Linked DNA regions of Alligator mississippiensis. The protein of the gene in region 2 interacts with the protein of the main gene of each other region in a biochemical or structural test. Links are inferred from orthologs where the notes say so. Each region holds a gene or a part of one and is shown on either strand. Other genes may lie near its edges.

What was found.
Region 1: the proteins of FGFR4 (region 2) and FGF19 form a complex in vitro, tested with the Homo sapiens proteins (2 studies listed by BioGRID and IntAct). The link is inferred for Alligator mississippiensis from reciprocal best matches to the Homo sapiens genes FGFR4 and FGF19.

Annotation. Positions count from the first base shown.
Region 1 is NC_081825.1:215,291,011-215,294,912, forward strand, and holds the start of FGF19 (fibroblast growth factor 19), read right to left. Parts: upstream 2,486-3,902; 5' UTR 2,139-2,485; coding exon 1,904-2,138; intron 1,761-1,903; coding exon 1,657-1,760; intron 1-1,656. UniProt on the Homo sapiens protein: Involved in the suppression of bile acid biosynthesis through down-regulation of CYP7A1 expression, following positive regulation of the JNK and ERK1/2 cascades. Stimulates glucose uptake in adipocytes. Activity requires the presence of KLB and FGFR4.
Region 2 is NC_081832.1:79,316,865-79,320,766, reverse strand, and holds the start of FGFR4 (fibroblast growth factor receptor 4), read right to left. Parts: upstream 2,579-3,902; 5' UTR 2,537-2,578; coding exon 2,437-2,536; intron 1,783-2,436; coding exon 1,693-1,782; intron 1,351-1,692; coding exon 1,184-1,350; intron 1,015-1,183; coding exon 891-1,014; intron 352-890; coding exon 161-351; intron 1-160. UniProt on the Homo sapiens protein: Tyrosine-protein kinase that acts as a cell-surface receptor for fibroblast growth factors and plays a role in the regulation of cell proliferation, differentiation and migration, and in regulation of lipid metabolism, bile acid biosynthesis, glucose uptake, vitamin D metabolism and phosphate homeostasis.

The DNA.
Region 1 (3,902 bases), on a different chromosome or scaffold from region 2:
CTCCAAAATGCACATCCTGCCTTATACATTCAGTTTACTGATGGTTTGATTGTAGGCAAAAAGGAAGGAAATTCGGAATGAAAGCCCTAATCCTGTCATATACTCAAATAAATCTCCCACTAGATCCTACTCTTTATTTCCATTTAAAGCAAATGGAAAATTTGCCACTGTGCTAGCCCTTGGCCAAAACAGTAAGAATTTTGCCTGAGTAAGGAAAGCAGGATTAAGCCTTACATTTGGCTCTAAGAGGAAAGTAACTCTTCCCGGTATCTCTCAACTAACTACATAGTTATCACCTGAGGATGTATTTAGCTTCTTCTCTGCAACTTAACTAGTTATTACAGACATCTGACAAAAGCAGGACTGTACTGCTGATGTATCTAACTGATATGCTGAAATATGTAGATGGAAAAACCATGAGTTAACAACATGATAAGAGAGTCACTATAAGTCTTCAGTCTCCCATGACCCTTACAGGTGAACTGTTGATCACAAGTAAGAAGTGAGACAACGGAAGAAAGCCTTCCCCTTGAATTCTTGTTTCTGTCTGGCACTACTTAAAGAGATAGCAACCCCATATTTCTTTGATTTATACATATGGTAGCCATCTGGGCATATCTTCTCTTCGAAGGAGCAATCTTCTACAGAATACCTAAGCTGAACAGTAAGAAAACAAGTAAAAATACACCTGCACTGTTGAAAACCTAAAGTGCACTGAGTGGATTGTCTTTGTCATGGCAGGGCCCCATATAGATTTGGGATTTTTTTTACCTATATTCTCTTTGAAAGTAGAAAATGTAAAGAAAACTGCAAAGGGAGAAAATGCAATTGGGAACCAAAACTGGAGCACTTCCCCTGATTTTTTTTATTTGTCGTTCTGGAAAGTTGTTTTATTATTATTATTATTACTACTACTACTACTATTATTATTTGGCAGCAAAATTAAATGTTCACTAGCAGCCTCTAGGGACGCCCCTTGTGACAAAAGTAAACATTGTTGTCTTTCCTGACTAGTGCAGGGGTCTGGACCAGATGATCTTGCAAGGTCCCGTTGAGCCCCTTACAGTCTATAAGTCTATGAATCTCAAGAGTTTTGTCTGCCTTCTGTGGGGGTCCCTGATACACCTTCAGCTAATCCTCCAGGCCAGTTTAGGTTAGAGGGGGTTTAAGCCTTAGGCTAGGGACACACATTCCACATGACCCGGTTTAAGTGCTCAGTCACTGGTTTACAGATGTTTAGTGCACATCAACCAGTTTGAAAATGGCTGAAACCAGTTGGAGCTAAACCTGGTTGACTGTAGTATCAGACTTAACTGATGTGGGTCAACCTGGTTTATGCAATGTCTGTCCCAGACCTTCACGACACGTGAAAGCTTGCGGTAGGGAATGCAGGCGAGCTCCTTGTGCTGTTTTGTTTTCTGGAGAGCATCCCAGCGTGACCCGCCTCAACCCCTCCAGGCTCATTTCCTTGCTCCTGCCTTGCCCACGCCAGACCCCTAACGGCGTGAGAAGGAAGATGCGGTCGGCTGGAGCGGTTTTGTCTGGCCGGGGCCGGAGGACACGATAACAAGCCCTTGCGAGCGCATGCAACCCCCCCGCCCGGCCCCGCCAGCTATTGACTTTCCCAGGCTGGTTCAGTGCGCGCCCGCAACTTACAAGCCCATGCAGCTTCCCTTCCTCCTCCATGCAGAGGTACCGCGAGCTGTGCACGCCCTTGATCGCCACCGTGCGAACTGCCACGGCCCTGATCTCCAGCAAACCTGCGGAGCACAACGAGAGAGAAAAGCCAGGTTACAGCAGGAGCGGGGAGGTAGCTAGATCGCCGCCGGCCCGCCGCCCTCCGCCTCCCCGGGCCTCCTCCCGCGGGCAGGGCTCAGGTGCGGCTCCCTTCCTTTGTACTCACTTTGAGGACTCTGGCTGGTGGTGCCGTCCACTTTGCCATCATTGCTGATCCTCAGGAAGTAACTGAACAGTCCGTGCTTGCTGGCAGTGTAGAGGTGCCTCAATCTGATGGGCTCCCCCCAGCCATAGTTCACGTGTGGCCCTGCGTCGGAGAAAGGCAGGGAATCGGCCACCATTGCACAACAGAGTCCGAGCAGAGCCAGGGACGTCGGCGCTTTGCACAGGGGCTGCCACATCTTTTATTTTTCCACCGCCCCAGGTAATATAAATGGCAAGCTGCCTCCTCCCAGCTCTCTTTCTCTCCCGCACACGAGCAGAGGCGCCAATGCTGCTACGAGAGAAGGCAGCGGCTTGGTGCTTTTGGAGCTAATTGCTTCAGGGATGTAGTAAACGCAAAGCCAATCCCCCTGCCTTTTATAGGTCCCTGTTATCAGCCCAATCGATAGGGCTAAATCCAATTCCAATATAGCGACTATTTCATAGCAGGACTTGGCCGGATCAGTCACTCCCCGCTAAAATATTGATCGGATGACATCATTTCACAGGAGACACCCTGAGCGCCCGCCCTGGAAAAGCTTTATCCTGCAATCTTGCTCGTATTTGAAATCAGCCCTCTTCCAGCCTGAGCAAGATCACGTGCGGCTCATCCTCATGCAAACCTCCGCCACGCCACCCGGGAGGCACCGGGCGCCTGGGCACTGGCGGAGTTTGAAACGGCCTCTGCCCACGCCGTGCCCGTCCGGGGGTGGCAGAGGCGGTTGTGTGTATGCCTCAACATCCAGCAGCCCGGCAGGAAAGCAGCCCCCCGGATCTCTGCCTGCTGGGGAAAAGAAGGCAGGAGTCATCGAGAAAGGAAGGAAGAAAGAAATCAATCTCAACGTCCCAGTTATGCAGCATGACACAACTTCCTTGTCCAAGTCAATCAGCTGGTGGCCAGGGATCCAATGCCCCCTCCACACTTTAAAGAAGAATGGGCACATCATCTTGAAAGAAATCCACATTAACCACAAATGAACTATGAAGTTACCAACAAAAAAAAAAACCCCAACAACCCCAAAAAGAAAAACCCTCCCCTTAGTCAGGCTCTAAACCTGCAGAAGCCCTTCCCCTGCAACATACACCGTTGCCCAGACACTGATTCAGAATCCTCTTTCTTGACATCTTGTATATTAGGTATATCTTGTATATTAGGCATCTTATATATTAGGTTCTCTCCTGTGCTTCCTTGGCTAACAGCACTAGGAAAGAGACTGAAGAGGTGACCTAAGGAGCTCAGAAGGGTTAGGACCCGTCTTTTCACTATGATTTACCCTCGTCAACAGAGGTTAGTTCAGGACAGCCACAGATGAGATAGTGGGCGAAACTCCTGTAATATGGGAGGAATAAGAACCCCCCCCCCCACATGTCCTCAAAGCAAGGGTCATCTCTACAGCTTCTCAGTAGCCCAGCCAGGATAAGCCACTCTTACCAGCTCATCTTCTCTCCCTGACCATGAGGGAGAGGCTGCAGATCAGGAAAATACTCTGATTGCAATCATTTTAATATGAAGCCATTCATTAATGCAGTCATAACTGGGTGCCTCAGCATTGGATTCCAAGGAAATCAAATCATACATTCACACACTGTAATGCTATTCCCCCTGGAGGGGAATATACCATCAAAGAGGTGGAAGCATTGTCTATCCACTTGCTTCCTTTGCAAATAGGGTTTGCTTGTAGAGTGTCTGAGATATAACAGCAGAAATCAGATCGCATCCCATGAGGCGTGCAAGTGTTACAGTAACTCATGTCACACTCCCTGCCAATCCAGAAAAGACAGAGGTGAGCTTTCTTCAGAGCACCTAGTAATGTTGTGGTTAGTTCTGCAGACCCTCAGGCTGTAGCTCCTATTTTGCTTTCTTCTGAATTAGGAAGATGTAATTCCTAATTCCAAGATTTAGTGCGGGCCAGGAGGACAGCTCTTGATCAACTCAGCATTCAGAAGGAGGTAGCACTCGGTTG
Region 2 (3,902 bases):
CCCCCAGCTCCACCTGTTCCCTGGTGCCCGGCTGCCTCCCACTGCTCCCCAGAGCCCTGCGTCATGTGGGCTCAGCTCCTCAGGGCACCACGGGGTCTGCCCAGCAGCAATCAGGCCTGGCCGGGTCCACATGATGCCCCCGCGCCCTCTCCTCTGGTACCTTGAGCACTTGGACGTAGGGGATGCCGTCGGGGCCGTAGCTGCTGCCGTTCAGCTTGATGTGCTTGAGCCACTGGATGTGGGGCTGGGCGTCGCTGTACACCTTGCAGAAGAACTCCACGTCGCTGCCTGCCTGGGCCGTGGTGTTGGCCGGCAGCCCGGCCTGCAGGATGGGCCTGTGCGGGGACCGCTCTGCCGGAAGTGGGGTGCGTCAGCCAACGGGGCTGCACCCGGCTGGGCCCTGCCCTCCTCTGGCACCTCGCCCATGGACCGGGGGCACCATGGCCTGGGAAACCTCTGCCCCACAGAACCAGAGGCCCCCAGTCAGCCCACCCATCTGTCCCTCCCCACGGGGCTGTGGATCCTCGGGCCCCCCCTGCCTGCCCGGTCCATCCCCGCCCGCCGGCCCGGCCCTGATAAGGAGCAGTGGGGGGGGGGGGGGTGCTGGTATGCTGGCTCCTTGCTTTGGACTTTACAACCCCGACGCTCCCAGAGGCCCTTTGAAGTTTGCAGAGGGATCAATGACCTCTTATCTCCCAGCTCCCAAGGGCAACAGCAAGGCCCTGATGCAGCGCCAGGAGCTGCACGGGAGGGGCCCAACTCAGGCAGCCCACGTAGGAGCAGAGCCTTCCCTGGGGGTCTGCGCCAGCTGAGAGGCCCCTTCCTTGCAGGCTTCCTGCTGGGGGAGGACCCCAGGATCAGCCCCCCGTGCTGCCGGCCAGCGGGCTCACCCAGCACGTCCAGCAGGTAGCTGTAGCGGATCCTGCCAAACTTGTTCTCCACCAGGCAGGTGTAGTTGCCGCGGTCGGAGGGCACCACGCTCTCCATGACCAGGCTCCAGTGCTGGTGCCGCAGCTGGGGGAGAGGACGGGACAGAGCACGGTGAGGGGCAGCTGGCACCTGGGCAGAGCTCTCTGCAGGGCACCCAGCTCCTGGCTGGTGCCTGGCCCGGCAGGGGGGTCGCTACCAGAGGACCTCTGCCACAGGCCCCTGGAGAAGGCAGGGGGCAGCCCCGCTCCCTCACCCGGATGCCGCCGATGCGATGCTCTCCCCGAAACTCATGCCCATTCTTCAGCCAGTGGATGCTGGGGCTGGGGCTCCCTGATGCCGGGCAGCGAAACTTGACGGTGTTGCCCGCGGGCACCGCGTACAGCTTCTTGTCCATGCGGTGGGGGTGCGTCCAGTAGGGCGCTGAGGATGACATGGGTGGCCGTGCCCATTAGCCATGGGGCCGGGACAGCTATGGAGCACGGGAACAGGGTGTGTGTGGGCGGGGGCGGCCAGCTCGCAGTGGGCTCTGCCAAGGCACACGGGTGCTTGGGGCTGCAACGCAGGGCAGGTGCAGGCACAGCTTGCAGGGAGGGGCACAGTGCATGCTCAGCTCTCCCAGGCCAGGGCCTGATCCAGCCGGCCGGCTCAGGGCAGCCACAGTGGAGTGCAAAGGGCCTGGGGGACCGTGTGGTGCTGCCAGGCTGCAGGCAATGGGGACTCCCTGCTCCACAGGGCCTGGGGCAGCCTGGCCACAGCACTGACCTCTGCGGAAGTGCAGGAGCTCCTCGCGCGAATCCCCCTGGGAGATATCCCCGTCCCCATCCTCATCGTCATCGCCTGACGCCAGGGAGTCTGGAACGAAGTGCCGCAGGGTGTCATGCTGCCGCCCGGCACGGGCAGTTTCCCAGCCCTTGCCAGCAGTGGGCACCGTGGAGCAGGGGCAGGAGGGATGGCGCTGCGGACCCCCTGCCCGGCGCCCGGCCCACGCAGCCCCCTGGTCCTCGCCGCCGGCCTCCAGCCGGAGCCGGAGCCGGACGCCCCGGGGCCCGGGCCACGCTGCCCAGCGCGGGGCAGCCAGCCCGGTGCCCGCAGCAGCTTCGCCTGCCCCAGAGCCTCTCCCCTGCGCTCTGCCTCGCGCCCCGGCGCGGCTGGGCCCGTGCCCGGAGCCTGTGCCCGTGGCTCCGCCAGCGGCCCCTCCCGCCCGGCCCGATCCCGCCACCTTCCCGCCCCCTCGAGCCCCTCGGTCCGGCCGGGGGAGTGGCGGGGGCACCGGCAGCCCGCAGCCTCCCCGGGCAGGGCAGGGCAGGGCAGGGCAGAGAGGGCTCCTCCGGTGCCCCCCGACCCAGGCTGTCTTCGCGGGGCCGCCCTGGCAGCAGCCAGGTCTCCCAGGCACCGGCCGCGCGGACCGCGCCACCCGCCGCCCGTGCGCCCCGCGGGCTGCCGCGCTCGGAGGGAGCGCGGAGCCCAGGCGCCCGTCCGCGCCCCGCACACGCGCCCCGCGCCCACCTGGCTCCGCGGGCGGGTCCTCGGGCCCGGCCCCGGCCGCCCGAGCCCCGGCTGCCAGCGCGGCCAGGAGCCCCAGCAGGGCGCACACGCCGGGCTGCATCGTCCCGCGCCCGCGCCCCGCACCGCACCGCCCCGCACCGCGCGGCCAGAGGCAGCCGGTCCCCGCCCCGGCCCGCCCCGGCCGCACGGCCCGCCCCGTCCCGCCCCGCGGGGGCTCCGGCGGGCAGCTGCCGGCAGGGAAGGGTTAATGTTTAACCGGGTGACGAAGGGCTGCGGGGCCGCCCCGAGCCCGGGCAAAGTCCGGCCCGCGCCTCCCTCCCCCCGCGAGGCTGAAGTCGGACGCTCATTCCCGCGGGCTATTACTTTACATACGAAGTAGTGCGTCTGCACGGCGAGCGACGCGCGCTCTCGCTGTAATTCATTAACACCAGGCTTTTATCGGGTCTAGATTAGCGCTGCCAAAGCAGCCGGGAATAAGGAGCGGGGACTAGGCAACCAACTTCACTCGTCCCTCCCCGGCCGGGCTCTCGCTGCTCCGGGCCAGCCCGACCCGAGCCCGCTTCCCCCGCAGGGCCCGGGCAGGTCACCCTGCCCCCGCCCCGGCCGGCAGAGGGGAGCGGGCGGCGGGGCCAGTTAAGCTTTGACCCCGCAGCCGGGGCTGGGGGCGCGGGCGGCCGCTGCCGTGGGGGCACCCGGGCCTGGCCCTGCCTCTGCCCCCGGTAGACAGCGGGCCCCGGGCTGCGGCCGGGGGACCCTCCCCGCGGAGCAGCCAGAGTCCACGGGCACAGCCCGGGCAGGTCTGGGGCAGCGGGCACGGCCCCATCCTGGCTGTGGAGGGCTGGCGGGGCCCGGCGGCTCACTGCAGACTGCAATGCCGCAGGGGCTGGCACGACTCGGCTCGGCTCGGGCGGGCCAGACCCCAGTGCCCCACGGCCCCGACCTGGGGGCTCTGCAGGCCCTCCGCCCCGACCCACAGCCGCTTGCTGTCTGCAGAGGGGCAGCCGGGGCCATGAAGCCCCCTCCTGCCCAGGCAGGAGGAGACCCCTTCACTGCGGGTGCCCGTAGGCCGGGAGGGCAGCTGCCCGGGCCAGGGGCTGCATTGCCGCTGCCTAGGCCAGCTGCAGGCTCCGAGTGGCAGCCTCATGCAGCGGTGCTGGCCCCGGCAGCGGGCTCGGCTGGCACCGCTCCCTAGCAGGGCCGGCAGCCTGCCCTGCCCTTCCTTCCTCCCCCAGGCAACGGCCTGGCCCTGCTGCTGCCCCGGGGCTGCCACCTGGCGGCAGCCGCTGCCCCCGCTCCTAGGGACCAGCCTACAGCCCTCTGCCAGGCCCCGGGTGGCACAGTCCCTGCCTCCTTCCCGGGCCAGCAGCCCATATTGTGGGTGAGAGGCCGGGTGCTGCAGGCAAGGCTGCTTTCCCCTGGGGATGCCCCTGCTAGGCCTGGGCCGCAAGGCCCCAGGGGTCAGCCTG